2 linked regions of the Arabidopsis thaliana genome follow. The protein of the gene in region 1 interacts with the protein of each later gene in a pairwise test. Each region holds a gene or a part of one and is shown on either strand. Other genes may lie near its edges.

Region 1 (6,412 bases):
TTTTTTTGGGGCAAATTAAAGTAACTTTCTAATAGTATATATATAGAGAATATTAATACCCAATATTTATATACAGAAAATAACATGTTTAAATCAGCTTCTTCTAAATTTTAAAGTAATCAGTTTCATGAATTTGTAAAAAAAATTCTGCAGTATCATTAACTAGATGTCTGATTAAATATAGTAAAACATGTGTACGAATTATTTAGTTTGTATGGAGAAATATTTTTGGTCAAGCGATTAAAGTTCCATTTTTTGTGGATTTTTTTTCGCTAGAATTTAATTACGAATATTTGTTTTGTAGAGTTAACAACCTAAGAATCGAGATATATCTCGACATCGATGATATAAAGAAAAAAAAAGGTATAGTATATATTTTTAAAAACATACACTTATTGTTTTTAGTGATGATACTGGTAAAACACTTTCATGCAATATTATTGAAATACCACTTCAAAGACTAATTTTCGGTATCGATAGAGTTTTAGTTCGTCGACGTCGAGAAATTTTATATCCTCTTCGATTTCTTTACAGTTTTTATCGATTTTTTTTGTATATACTTCTAATTTTCTTCTCTCTATATGACTTTTCTCTCAATTTCTTCTTTTTCATATCTACTTTTTAAGATATTTTAAAGAGTCGTGAAAGAGCATCCCTTCAATATGCTCATGCCATTGGTATTGAATTCACCAAAAGAGAAGCCTCTCATCAAATAAGTTCTTCAATCCCGAAACTTGAGCTTAGTCTCCAAATCCTTTGAGTTAAGATGTCTTATGACCCTCGTCATTTATAAATTAAACTCAATAAAATTGATGTCTACACTTTGATCGGATTGAACAAGAACATTGTCATGTTCACTTGCAATATTCACATAAGCCTTTATCGGATTCAGTTGTCCGCAAATATTTTGATATTTACTCGATGAAAGATCTGCTATAAGGGTGAATAAATTTGTAATTCAAGCCCCATCACAAATCGCGGTAGATCAACTGCATCTAGCTTGGAAATCAAGAGTACTATATGCTCGTTGACGCCTTCATCAAGACCAAAAGTAAACTGTACATTGTTGCCTCTATTCCCCAATCTTGGAATCTAAATATCTCTTGATCAATTTTTTATGCTTGGTTCTATCATATAGTTACTTTTTAACTTGATGAATTTCCAAACATGTTTTAGGAAAACTACTTTGTGAAAATTTTATATTATATAAATAGAAAAGATAATTTAACGGAAAAGAAACATTAACTTTATAGCATGTGGTATGTGGATATTATGCTCACTCTCAATTAGTCAATTAAGATATACCAACAACAACCTGGTTGAGATATCACAGAAATTATCAATTAATATCTTATAAATGAATTCGAAATATGCTAAATGCAAACATAGTTTTGTAAGTACGTAATTTATAATATATTAATACTCAAATCTAAGACTTACTTTTGAAAACAAAAGAATATCTTGTCAAATTGACACTTTTTAATGTTCAAAAGAGATAGTAAGAAATTTCGCCTAACCAAGAAAACAATAAAAACAAGGAATTTCAGTCTCAATACTATATATATTTTTCTGTTATTCACTTATATATTTGGATGTGATAGAATACTTTTTTAAGAACACACATATCTTATCTTCACCGATATATTAGCTGATACATTTTTTACATTCCTTTTTATTATTATTATTCTTATTTATTTTCTATTCACATGTACTTACAAACAAAAACTTAAAGACTTTGCAATTTGCGTTACGAATATTTTTCGTCAGGCTGTAATTTGAAAAGTCTTCTAGATGATTTCAAGTCTCTGCTTAATGTGCCAACTAGGCTCTATGTCACTACTTTGTGTTGTCTCTAATTCTCATTCTTCTTGACAAGACCAAACATATCACTAATGATGAAGAGATGACTAATATTTGTTTATACATTTGCTTGTAATGAAGACATGTAGTATAGCAAAGCACCATATAATATAGTGATAGCATTCTATTAATTTGTTCTTTTTTACAGCCGAAGAAGAAGAGTATAAGAAACATGTTTAAGATTCAGCCTTAAACAAGTGAAGAAAAAACAAAAAGAAAGGCTCAACGAATGGGAACTTTGATCCAACCATTGGCAAAAGCAATGGCTAAGATGACGAATGGAGTTGACATACCGAATATGATAATGTAAGGAAGAGGCGTCTTCATCGGATTCTCTCCTTCTCTTTCTCCAACGCTTTGCCAATACCTACAAAATTCCAATGCAATCCTCATCCATAACCATTTCTTCAATCACAATTGCATGTTTATGAAAAATGAACATGCAAGAATTTAAGTTCTTTTTCTATTTTAAAAGAGTTTAGTTCTTTTGACTAAACTACAACCCAAATATTTTTATTCTTTTGCTAACACGGATTTGAGTCTGGATATTGATACAATACTAACACAATGTCACAAACCACCAGTCTACATGTCATTGACACATACAAAAAAAAAAACTACTTAAATTCTGCAATGGAGACTAAAATTTTTGTATTAAATTGGTAACCTACATATCGTTTTGTAATTTTCCATGTTTTCATCAATTTCCTAGGTTTGTTTTTCTGTGATTTTGCAAAATTACATTACCATTCTATGAGTTTCTGTTATTTTCTACAATCTCATGATGAAAATTGAGAATTAAGATTAACTTACTGTTCAGGTTCTTCCTCTTTGGTTATAAACTTTTTCTTATCTTTAGGCTTCACTTCTCCATCTCCTCCACCTTATGCAATAACCAAAGATTAACAAAATTTACATCTACAAACAAATAAAAGATATAAGAGTACCTAATTTGGCATGAAGCTTGAATTCTGGGAATCCTAATGGTGATGGTGGACAAAAGAATTGAGGTAAAGCAAGCAATGATGAATATGAAGAAGATGATGAAGTTGAGGAATCACTAGCCCTGTGGCTAAACGAAGAAGAAGAAATTCGAAATTTCGCTGCCATTTCCAACAACTATATGGATGTGATAGAATATTTTTACATTTTATTTTTCTGTTATTCACTTATACATTTGGATGTGATAGAATATTTTTTTCTGAACACACAGATCTTATCTTCACCGATATATTAGCTGAAGCCTGATACATTTACATTCCTTATTTATTTTTTATTCACATGTATGTACTAATAAACAAAACTTAAAGACTTTGTATTATGCGTTACGAATATTTTTCGTCAGGATTGAAAAGTCAACCCTAGGCCTTTAGCTTCCTTCTTTTATATAAACAGAGAAACAAAACACTTTCTTTCTCAGCCTCTCTGTTTCATCTTCTTCTCTAAACTCTCAACATGTCTTGCTCGGCCACCGATCTCGCTGTCCTGTTGGGTCCTAATGCCACGGCGGCGGCCAACTACATCTGTGGCCAGTTAGGCGACGTCAACAACAAATTTATCGACACCGCTTTCGCTATAGACAACACTTACCTTCTCTTCTCCGCCTACCTTGTCTTCTCTATGCAGCTTGGCTTCGCTATGCTCTGTGCCGGTTCCGTGAGAGCCAAGAATACTATGAACATCATGCTTACCAACGTCCTTGACGCTGCAGCCGGTGGTCTCTTCTATTATCTGTTTGGCTACGCCTTTGCCTTTGGATCTCCGTCCAATGGTTTCATCGGTAAACACTACTTTGGTCTCAAAGACATCCCCACGGCCTCTGCTGACTACTCCAACTTTCTCTACCAATGGGCCTTTGCAATCGCTGCGGCTGGAATCACAAGTGGCTCGATCGCTGAACGGACACAGTTCGTGGCTTACCTAATCTATTCCTCTTTCTTAACCGGGTTTGTTTACCCGGTCGTCTCTCACTGGTTCTGGTCAGTTGATGGATGGGCCAGCCCGTTCCGTACCGATGGAGATTTGCTTTTCAGCACCGGAGCGATAGATTTCGCTGGGTCCGGTGTTGTTCATATGGTCGGAGGTATCGCTGGACTCTGGGGTGCGCTCATCGAAGGTCCACGACTTGGCCGGTTCGATAACGGAGGCCGTGCCATCGCTCTTCGTGGCCACTCGGCGTCACTTGTTGTCCTTGGAACATTCCTCCTCTGGTTTGGATGGTACGGATTTAACCCCGGTTCCTTCAACAAGATCCTAGTCACGTACGAGACAGGCACATACAACGGCCAGTGGAGCGCGGTCGGACGGACAGCTGTCACAACAACGTTAGCTGGCTGCACCGCGGCGCTGACAACCCTATTTGGGAAACGTCTACTCTCGGGACATTGGAACGTCACTGATGTATGCAACGGCCTCCTCGGAGGGTTTGCAGCCATAACTGGTGGCTGCTCTGTCGTTGAGCCATGGGCTGCGATCATCTGCGGGTTCGTGGCGGCCCTAGTCCTCCTCGGATGCAACAAGCTCGCTGAGAAGCTCAAATACGACGACCCTCTTGAGGCAGCACAACTACACGGTGGTTGCGGTGCGTGGGGACTAATATTCACGGCTCTCTTCGCTCAAGAAAAGTACTTGAACCAGATTTACGGCAACAAACCCGGAAGGCCACACGGTTTGTTTATGGGCGGTGGAGGAAAACTACTTGGAGCTCAGCTGATTCAGATCATTGTGATCACGGGTTGGGTAAGTGCGACCATGGGGACACTTTTCTTCATCCTCAAGAAAATGAAATTGTTGCGGATATCGTCCGAGGATGAGATGGCCGGTATGGATATGACCAGGCACGGTGGTTTTGCTTATATGTACTTTGATGATGATGAGTCTCACAAAGCCATTCAGCTTAGGAGAGTTGAGCCACGATCTCCTTCTCCTTCTGGTGCTAATACTACACCTACTCCGGTTTGATTTGGATTTTTACTTTTATTCTCTATTTTCTAGAGTATTATTTTAAATGATGTTTTGTGATACTTAAATATTGTTTTGGATATTTTTTTGCATTTCAGTAATGTTTTAGATGTACAGTTTCATGGGGTTGTGATGATAATATCTATGTGGTCATTTGTGTTCTCTTTGGAGTTTTTTCTATAACGCTTTTTTCAAATTTTATGATCATTATTTGCTGCATTCTAGATAAGCAATTAGGAATGTGAAGCATGGACTAAGTAAAAGCCTGACCGTTTTTAAGTTTGGACTTTTGATATAGCTCATACTTTTTTGATATTAGTTCATACTTATTGCTTTAAATAGCTAAAAAGTCTAAAACAAACCTTGCATTGACGCAATAGATATAAATAACTCGAAGTATTGCTTTCTAGAAGCATTAACAATTTGGTAAAACGAAGTTGAACCATTTACTCAAGCATAATAATCAGAAATGACAATCTTTCATGTCTGATGCAAATAAATAATAATTTATGGAAATAATTTCTATGTCTTACATCACTAATTAGACTTTTAGATGCTTGCAAGTTTGAAGTTTCAGCAGAAGTAGGTGCTTTTACAAACTCTTTTTTGTTTTAATTTGATAAAGTGTGTTTTTACAAACTCTGTTTTATTTTATTTTGAAAAAGTGTGTTTTTACAAACTTTCAACCAACCTATTCACGAATCTCTAATTTCATTTGTCCACCACATGAAATAATGTGTTTATTATATTAGTGTTATTTAAACTCAACGATTTTGGAGATTCGTACGTACCTTGTTGCCGCAACTAAAGATTCGGAGTATCACAGTTATTATATTAACAAATGGATTCACAAAGTAGATCGCGAATTACTTGAAAGTTGGAACTCGTGATAATGTTGTCGATACCACTAAATGGCAACTTCGTACATATGTAAAAAAAGTCAGGGTATTTGGGTGCTTTTCAAAAAGATGGAAGCATGACATGAGTGATGAGGCAGCTCCTACAAGTTGGAAAGAAGATATTTTGTCTTTACCTCCAAATTAAAAAATTGGCATTTTTAAATATCAAAAGGTGAAGAAGCCAATCAATTAGTATATTTATTTGTATTTTTTTTTTTTTTTCAATCTCTTTTACAAGTTTTAAGGAACTTAATGGCCAGCACTTTGATTTGATAGATACACACTAAATGAAAAAGTTGACCAGATGGCTCCGGTACTCGGAAACAAATTGCATGGAAATTTTACATAATTAGGTACACACATTTCAACATTTTGAAGAATATATTTGACTGTTTTGATTTTGCAGTTTCAATTGCTTTATGATTTCTACTCGGTTATTTATTGCTTTCCTAAATTTTATTCTGTGTATCTTACTTTATTATTTTTTAGAATTTAATATTTGTTGCTTCTATTCTCAATGAATATACTCAACAGATGAAATAATTAATAAATAATTCCAAACATTTGAACGTTAAATAATTAAATAGTCTTGACCATTTTAATATTTTTTCTAATTGTAACATTTTCTTTAGTATTACTAGGTTATGATTATCATTACACGTTTGGGTTAAATATGTTTTTGAACTTTTGGC
Region 2 (9,185 bases), on another chromosome or scaffold:
TATCGATATTTCAAGAATCAAAAGATTACTACTCGATGTCTAGAAGTTTCCGCTATGTAGAAAACTTGGTTGTTTCAAAATGTCGTTTTGATGGTTTGGCCTAAAATTTAAAGTGGTTTATCCACTAGTAGTCTCTAAGTGTTGAACCGTAGAACAGATTTTCCATTTATAGAGAGACAATACAATGTGTCATAGATGAGTGGACCACAAGATAGAACCACAAAAAAAAATTTGTCTCAACATGGTCACACGTGCATAGTACACGTACAGCTTTCGTGGATTCTATTCACATGGTATCAATCAAAAACACATACGCGTGATAGACTCATCTTTTTCATGTGCATGTCCCGAAAGTGACGTTGCTCCACTGGAACTCACCGCCTAAAAATCCCATCTTCAAAACGTTTCTCTTGGCCCTCGATATAAATGCATTGGTTACCAAATTGTCGATATTATTGCTTCAATCATGATTCGGCTTCATTGGTATATCCGTATATATCCCTTGTCACGTAAGGCAAACACATAAAATATATGATAAAAACAAAAATTAATGGAGTTGAATTTAGTGTTACCTATAACGGGTATTAATTATACAAAAGTATGTAAATTAGTAAAATAGTGAATCGCCCATGAAGTTGCATAATCTTGTCTTGTAAACAAATGTATTGTAATGACGTGACGTTGTGTTAGTAGAGGTATGGAGACAGATATGCTCTTCTGATCAGTTTCTCGTCCGATCAATATTATTATCATTGTGGGACGGTCCTACTCGACAAATTATAGAGACACCCACGTTTACATTATTGTAAATATTTATATTTTTAGCTAACTTCGGGCCTACTGTCACTATTTGCTAGCTATATTTTCTTCAAAATGAAACCGTCATCTATATTCAATGTCCTGTTTCAAATAAGCTCAAAATATTTTGGTCAAAATTACCTTTACTTGATGGAATTTTGCAATGCTTGATACATTATGTTTATGCAATTTTATGGTGCATTATTATATGTATGTAAAGTATCTAATTTTTAAGTATACTCAACAACGAATAACTAAAACATAGATCATATCTAACACTAGTGTTTGTCTCTAGCGATAATAAAACTTTAAATTCTCTAATGTCTCTACCAATAGAATATTTTTGTGTGATATATATGTATATATAGAGCAAACAATGTGGAAAGCGACTGGGAAAATAAAGGAACCAAATGAGAAAGGGAAGGGATACAGCTGGGGAAGTCAACATCCAAATCAAAGATCTTTTGATTCTCACTCACATATCCCTTTATTAAACCGTATCTCTTCCCATTTAAACCGACACAAGAAAATTTATTAGGTATCACGGTTAATACTTTATTATTCAGTAGAAAGTATTAGTATTTAAACAACTAAAGAGAAGTTTTTTTTTTTTCTTGCAATAGCTAAAATTCCATTTTGTATACTCTTAAAAAAACTATGTTAGTATTATTGATTTTGGCCAAATGTATGGGGGGATTTTTTTTTTATAGTATTCTCATCTACTTTTTGTTTTTGTTATTGACTGTCTCTGATTTCTTTCTCGTGTATTGTCTCACTTTTTAAATCATTATCTTAGATTTTTCTTAATAAAATAAAGAAGCAACATACTATATACTATTCTAACATGTAGGATGATAACCTTGTAAGGGCCATAACTTTATGGAATTTCATTTGTAAGTTTGAATAATTACCAATCGAGTGAAGTGAGCATGAAAACAAAGTGATTCAGTGAAAGGGGTACATTTATAACCACATAATCATCATATACTAACCATTTCACTATCTATTACCGTTTCTAAATATTTTACTGTATTATGGTCCTTTAATTTGTGTTTTAACTTTTAGTGGCTAAACGATGCCATAGGACCCAAGGCCATCACACATTGATATCAATCAGAAAGAGAATAAGCAATTATAAGTTTTCATAATAAATATGTGATATAAAACTTGGAGATAAATCAGAATGGGATTCGGAGCATAAGGGGATAACATTAGAGAGATGGATGTAGAAAGAAAAGGACATTGAGTAGGTTAGACGATTCTTATCAAACTTCACTTAAAAGGGTAATCGACCCAACAACATTTTAGTTCTCTCTTTCTTTTTTGGTTCTTTAATTTTAATTTATTTTCCAGACTGTAAACGAATATTAACACTACAGAAGAAACCAAAAATGTTTTTTTTTTCGGCCTAACTATTTGGGATCAATACGATTCGTTGCTTATTTTTTTCTAGTAACCTTCATAGGTTTCTCCAAGCTTTCATTATTTATTGTAATTGATCTCCACTTTAAAAGTAAAATCCAATAAATCAGCATTTCCTAATTATATACTAGTAATATTTTTTCACTTTTATTTTTATCATCTTATATATAGGAACTATATGAATGTAAATGTTTTCACGTAACGTTTTGGACATATACAACTAGTAGTTGCTACTAATTCCAATAGGAACAATTATCGCTATGACAAAAACAAATATCAAATAAGATTATTTTCCAGACAATGACGTATCATTATAATAATAAATTTTAAAATGTTTTATTACAATGAATCTCCACTTATTATCAATCCATCTAGAAACATTAACCGAAAGATGAATGTTTTTCTACATCCATGAAACTAATTTTTTAGGTCAATGTCTGTTGTTGATCCTCTTTTATATATTAGAAAACTATATAAGCACCGTTGGATTTTCTTAACCTGAGAGCGACGCTAACTATAAAGAAAGATCATCATAACATATTATATGTCAAAATCAGTATAGTCAGATGATTTTTATTAACTTTAAAAGTTTTTACAACTTTCACGAACATGAATTGTATGGTGAGAGAAGCTAGCTAGAGAAATAGTTGATTTTTTGATAAATGATTTAACCTTTTTGGCTCCAAGTCTCGACGACAACTTTCTCTTGTCTCTTCTCACTTCTCTTTCCTCTCTCCTCTCTTCTCAAATCTCTCTCTCTTTCGTATTTCTTGGAGACATCTTTCTCTGGAACTGTTCTTCATCGAATTCTATCTTTTGAGAGAAACTAAATTAAGTTGATAATCGAAGAACTTCCTCGAAATTAGGACTTCTTCTGCTTTTTGTTGTTTCCTAGAGATTTTCCTAGAACGTGGTCCAAGAAAATCACACAAAAAGGTTCATTCCTTTTTTCTTACCAGAAACCACAAATCAAAATCATCTCCCCTGTCTTTGTTTGAAATCTCTCAAATTTAAGAAGGATCATCCATTCACTAACCTGAGATTTTGGATAGGTTTCATCTATTTCAGGTACGATAATTCTTCATTATATTTTGTTTAATCCCGTTGCTTTTCTTGGTTTTAAGTTTTGAATCTTTAAGCCTCACATATTTGTTTTCTTTACTCAATCTAAGGTTGTTTTATTTCCAAAGATTTAAAGGATAGATTCTGTGAAAAAGTTTCTATAAATTTCAAATTTTCAAATGTGTAGGTTACTAGCTCTACTAATAACATAATTACTTTATCCACTAACTACAATCTGCATGACTCATTTTTAACTTGATTGTTTATTTAATTACCTTTTTAATCATTAATCCTTGATAGATACTCAATTCTCAATGTTGTGTTGTTCTTTTTTCATTAAAATTCAATGCTTTTAAAGTTTATATTCACAGATTTAGAAGGAGAGAGAGAGAGTAAAGATAGATCATTTGCTTTACTTTCAAACAAAATAATTAAGAAACTGAAAATTTAGGAGAAGGATAATAAACTTTCTGCACTGTAATGAGTACCTTTAAAGCTCACTTTTGGAGTTTGTGTACTTAAGCAAGCTTAATATGTCCATCTACCATACATGATGTATAAATGTATCACAACTAATTTATGATTTATACAAAACTGTTCACAAATCACATGCACCCATTCTTCTTACAAAATCTTTGCTATGATTGATTTTTTATATATATAGTAATATACGTGCATAGAATATAATAATAATAAACAGTAAACACAATTGGAAAACCATAATACTATGAAAATCCCATACATTAAAATATCAAATTTATTTTGAGTGGATTATTAATTGTATAGTGGTTAGTTTGTTGATTTCATATCTTTATTTTTCTATGTAGGTGGGAATTCCAGTGCATCGACCATGATCAACACCTAAACTACAAATTGACCGTTTTGCCCTTGGGAATCACTATAAATGTCGAGAAGACCAGACCTCCTACGTGGCAGCGTGGTCGCCACCGTGGCTGCCACGTTTCTCCTCTTCATTTTCCCGCCGAATGTTGAATCGACCGTTGAGAAACAAGCTCTGTTTCGCTTCAAAAACCGCCTCGACGACTCTCACAACATTCTACAATCTTGGAAGCCTTCCGATTCACCATGCGTGTTTCGCGGCATCACATGCGACCCGTTATCCGGCGAAGTCATCGGTATTTCTCTAGGAAACGTAAATCTCTCCGGCACCATTTCTCCATCAATCTCAGCTCTCACAAAGCTCTCTACGCTATCGCTTCCATCTAACTTCATCTCCGGAAGAATCCCGCCAGAGATAGTCAACTGCAAAAACCTTAAAGTTCTCAATCTCACCTCCAACAGACTCTCCGGAACAATCCCAAACCTTTCTCCTCTAAAGTCCCTAGAAATTCTCGACATCTCCGGGAATTTTCTTAACGGAGAGTTTCAAAGCTGGATTGGGAATATGAATCAGTTGGTTTCTCTCGGTCTTGGCAACAATCACTACGAAGAAGGTATAATTCCTGAGAGTATTGGAGGTTTAAAGAAACTTACTTGGCTGTTCTTAGCTCGCTCCAACTTGACCGGGAAGATTCCAAACTCGATCTTTGATCTGAATGCTCTCGACACTTTCGACATCGCGAACAACGCAATCTCCGATGATTTCCCAATCTTAATCTCAAGATTGGTAAATCTCACCAAGATTGAGTTGTTCAACAACAGCTTAACAGGTAAAATCCCTCCGGAGATAAAGAACTTGACTCGTTTACGCGAATTCGACATCTCTTCGAATCAGTTGAGCGGGGTTTTACCTGAAGAACTCGGAGTTTTGAAGGAGCTCAGAGTTTTCCACTGTCATGAAAACAACTTCACCGGCGAATTTCCTTCTGGTTTCGGCGATCTAAGTCACCTCACTTCTCTTTCGATTTATAGAAACAACTTCTCCGGTGAATTTCCGGTTAACATCGGCCGGTTCTCGCCGCTCGACACGGTTGATATATCTGAAAACGAGTTTACTGGTCCATTTCCAAGATTCTTATGCCAAAACAAGAAACTACAATTCTTGCTCGCCTTGCAGAACGAGTTTTCCGGCGAGATTCCGAGATCTTACGGCGAGTGCAAATCTCTATTGAGACTAAGGATTAACAACAACCGTCTAAGTGGTCAAGTTGTTGAAGGATTCTGGTCTCTACCGCTTGCTAAGATGATTGATCTCAGCGATAACGAACTCACCGGAGAGGTTTCTCCTCAGATTGGACTTTCAACAGAACTGAGTCAGCTCATTTTACAGAACAACAGATTTTCCGGCAAGATTCCTCGTGAGCTCGGAAGATTGACTAATATAGAGAGGATTTATCTGAGCAACAACAATCTTTCCGGCGAAATTCCGATGGAAGTTGGAGATTTGAAAGAGTTATCATCTCTGCATCTTGAAAACAATTCATTAACAGGATTTATCCCTAAGGAATTGAAGAATTGTGTCAAACTTGTTGATCTGAATCTCGCTAAGAACTTCTTGACCGGAGAAATCCCTAACAGTTTATCTCAGATTGCTTCTTTAAACTCGTTGGATTTCTCAGGGAATAGGCTAACAGGTGAAATCCCGGCGAGTCTTGTGAAGTTGAAGCTGAGTTTCATTGACTTGTCTGGAAATCAACTTTCAGGAAGAATACCACCGGATCTTTTAGCGGTGGGAGGATCCACCGCGTTCTCACGTAACGAGAAGCTCTGTGTTGATAAAGAGAACGCTAAAACAAATCAGAACTTGGGGTTGAGTATTTGCAGTGGCTACCAAAACGTGAAGAGGAATAGTTCACTCGATGGAACACTCTTGTTCTTGGCTCTTGCAATTGTTGTGGTAGTACTAGTGAGTGGTTTGTTCGCGTTGCGTTACAGAGTTGTGAAGATACGTGAGCTTGATTCGGAAAACAGAGATATCAACAAGGCGGATGCGAAGTGGAAAATCGCGTCTTTTCATCAAATGGAGTTGGACGTTGATGAGATTTGTAGATTGGATGAAGATCATGTGATTGGATCTGGAAGTGCAGGAAAAGTGTACCGTGTTGATTTGAAAAAAGGTGGCGGGACAGTGGCGGTTAAGTGGTTGAAGAGAGGAGGAGGAGAAGAAGGTGATGGAACAGAGGTCTCTGTTGCGGAGATGGAGATTCTTGGAAAGATTAGACACAGAAACGTGTTGAAACTCTACGCTTGTTTGGTTGGAAGAGGTTCTAGATATTTGGTGTTTGAGTTCATGGAGAATGGGAACTTGTATCAAGCTCTTGGCAACAATATTAAAGGCGGTCTACCAGAACTGGATTGGCTCAAAAGGTACTCTCTAGTCAATAAGAACCAGTTTCAAAATGGTTAATCATGGATCCAAGATTATAAGAAAGAAAAGTGATTAATTTGTCCCTTTTTGTTGGATAAACAGATATAAAATTGCGGTGGGAGCGGCAAAAGGAATCGCATATTTGCATCATGATTGTTGTCCACCCATCATTCACAGAGATATAAAGTCAAGCAACATTTTACTTGACGGAGATTATGAGTCGAAAATCGCAGATTTTGGAGTTGCAAAAGTTGCAGACAAAGGATATGAATGGAGCTGCGTTGCTGGAACTCATGGCTATATGGCTCCTGGTGAGTTTCCAACTTAACTATAAACTTTGGTTCACAAGATGAAAACTGGGAACTGATTCTTTTTTGTTGTAATTGTGTGATATGATCACTGCAGAGCTGGCTTACTCCTTCAAGGCAACGGAAAAGAGTGATGTGTACAGCTTCGGTGTGGTTCTTCTAGAGCTAGTTACCGGTCTTCGGCCTATGGAAGACGAGTTTGGAGAGGGGAAAGACATTGTTGACTATGTCTACTCTCAGATTCAACAAGATCCGAGGAACCTTCAAAATGTTTTGGACAAGCAAGTTTTGTCCACTTATATAGAAGAAAGCATGATTAGAGTTCTGAAGATGGGTCTTCTCTGCACTACGAAGCTCCCGAATCTCAGACCGAGTATGAGAGAGGTCGTGAGAAAGCTTGACGACGCTGATCCCTGTGTCTCCAATTCTCAAGACACAACTGGAAAGATTACAGTATAGATTGATGATTCACCTACCACGTTTTAGTTATGGTTAAGACTAGTCACTGGTCAAAGAAGTATCAGTTTGTTCGAGACTTGAGTAAAAGTACGAGAGATTGGTTTTTGCTTATTTACTAATCCGTTGTACTAAAAAGTTTGCAGTGAAAGGTCGGAGTTATCAGAAAGAGACTTGGATTAATTTATATTAACTACTGTGGGTGTGTGTTACAGGATATTATTCTTGTGACGATAATACACGAAAATGTTACCTCTTAATTGACGAATTCGATTCCGGTGAGAGGAAGTCCTTCATGCAACTGAAGCGCGAGGTCTCCGACAATCTACATTTAACAACAGTAAGAGTTTAGAATCCATTTCCAACCAAATGCAGAAGACATATCAGAAAGAGTGAATCTTCCTTGGATGAGTTTACCTTGGCCATGGACCTATATGAATATTCGGTAACTCCAGCGACATGAGGGGTTATTATAACGTTTTTGAACTTCAAAATAGGATCATTTGGATCAAACGGCTCAGACCACGCCACATCAATCCCAAGGCCTCCTAGATGACCGGACTCCAGATTCTGGAAAGCTGATTCATAGTTAATAAGACCACCTCGGGCAATATTTACAAGAAGAGCACCCTGAAACAACCAAAGAGAAGTCAACAGTCACCAGTAATCACAAAATAATTCAACTCCGTTGACGACAAAAAAAAAAAAAAAAAATTCAACTCGGTTTTTCCAAATATGAATAGCCCCGGTAATCACCTTTTTCATTGAGCATATGAACTCCTTATTCACTATTTCAGCCTGAAAATGTCATCATGTAGAAGAAACAATAGCCATATTATCTAAATTGCAGATATATTTTTCACTGCCAAGAACAACTCTTCATATTCATTTGCTTGACAAGTTTATGATGAAGGAGAAGTGGAAATATTACCGTTTCTTTGTTGAGCCTCAAACAAACAACGACTATATCGGCTTTGCCAGCGAATGTGTAAATGTCTTCATGGCTACCTTTCTCATCAACTAGCCTGGCTGAAGATATAAGTTAACAAATTACTAGACCTCAGGATGGTTTGTCAAGGCAAACAGAGGAGTTAAAAGAGAACCCATACAGTCTGAGTCGACGATAGAAGCAGGCCAGAATCTTTTCGTGGCTATTACTCTCGACCCAAATGGCTTCAACCGTTTAGCCAGCTCTATTCCGATGTTTCCATATCCTAAGATAAATACCTGTATAATAGAAAGAAAGAAAAACAAACAAACTTTGTTTAGGGATATAAGCCAAAAGATATCTAATGCAGATTTAAGATCACTCTAAGACTCACAGTTTTACCAAGAAGCGTGTCACCGGTTGGTTCTCCAAGTAGTCTATTTCTCAGAGATATTTGCATTTCGTTCTGCAACATGTCGTACGAATTACCTTTAGCTAAGAAAGAAATATCAGAACTAGCACTTGAGACACTTAAGAGTTATACTAATGGAACCATACAGAGGCAAATCAAATAAACACCTGTTTCTTAAGAAGTCCCAGCATTAGATATATAGCCATCTCAGAGCAAGATGCAGCATTTCCAGTACCCTCACTAGGAATTCTAGCGACCTTAATCCCATGTTTAGTAGCAGCATCAATGTCAACACCTTCACAAGTAAATGACTTGAAATAGTTAAGTAAAATTGCAGCTTAAGATGAGTCCATTTATGCTCTATCGAGTATTAATGCATAAGAAAACTGAGACAGATACCGTCGAGACCAACACCGTACTGCATAATAAGCTTTATGTTGCTTGCACGAGATATAACATTTGAATCCATTTGCATAGTCATTGCCACACATATATGATAGTTCTTAATAACCTCAGGGACATCGCGGTAAT

What was found.
Region 2: the proteins of AMT1;1 (region 1) and AT1G72180 interact in a protein complementation assay, tested with the Arabidopsis thaliana proteins (one study listed by BioGRID).

Annotation. Positions count from the first base shown.
Region 1 is NC_003075.7:7,854,905-7,861,316, forward strand, and holds AMT1;1 (ammonium transporter 1;1), read left to right. Parts: upstream 1-3,278; 5' UTR 3,279-3,315; coding exon 3,316-4,821; 3' UTR 4,822-5,014; downstream 5,015-6,412. Other genes in the region: AT4G13500 (uncharacterized protein), read right to left, coding at 2,083-2,227, 2,674-2,743, 2,808-2,970. UniProt on the Arabidopsis thaliana protein: High affinity ammonium transporter probably involved in ammonium uptake from the soil, long-distance transport to the shoots and re-uptake of apoplastic ammonium that derives from photorespiration in shoots.
Region 2 is NC_003070.9:27,159,888-27,169,072, forward strand, and holds AT1G72180 (Leucine-rich receptor-like protein kinase family protein), read left to right. Parts: upstream 1-2,932; 5' UTR 2,933-3,288; intron 3,289-4,109; 5' UTR 4,110-4,186; coding exon 4,187-6,549; intron 6,550-6,652; coding exon 6,653-6,861; intron 6,862-6,955; coding exon 6,956-7,317; 3' UTR 7,318-7,543; downstream 7,544-9,185. Other genes in the region: AT1G72190 (D-isomer specific 2-hydroxyacid dehydrogenase family protein), read right to left, coding at 7,571-7,639, 7,732-7,944, 8,071-8,112, 8,246-8,343, 8,424-8,541, 8,637-8,708, 8,822-8,949, 9,054-9,185. UniProt on the Arabidopsis thaliana protein: Receptor kinase involved in the perception of C-terminally encoded plant signaling peptide (CEP) and subsequent regulation of root and shoot development.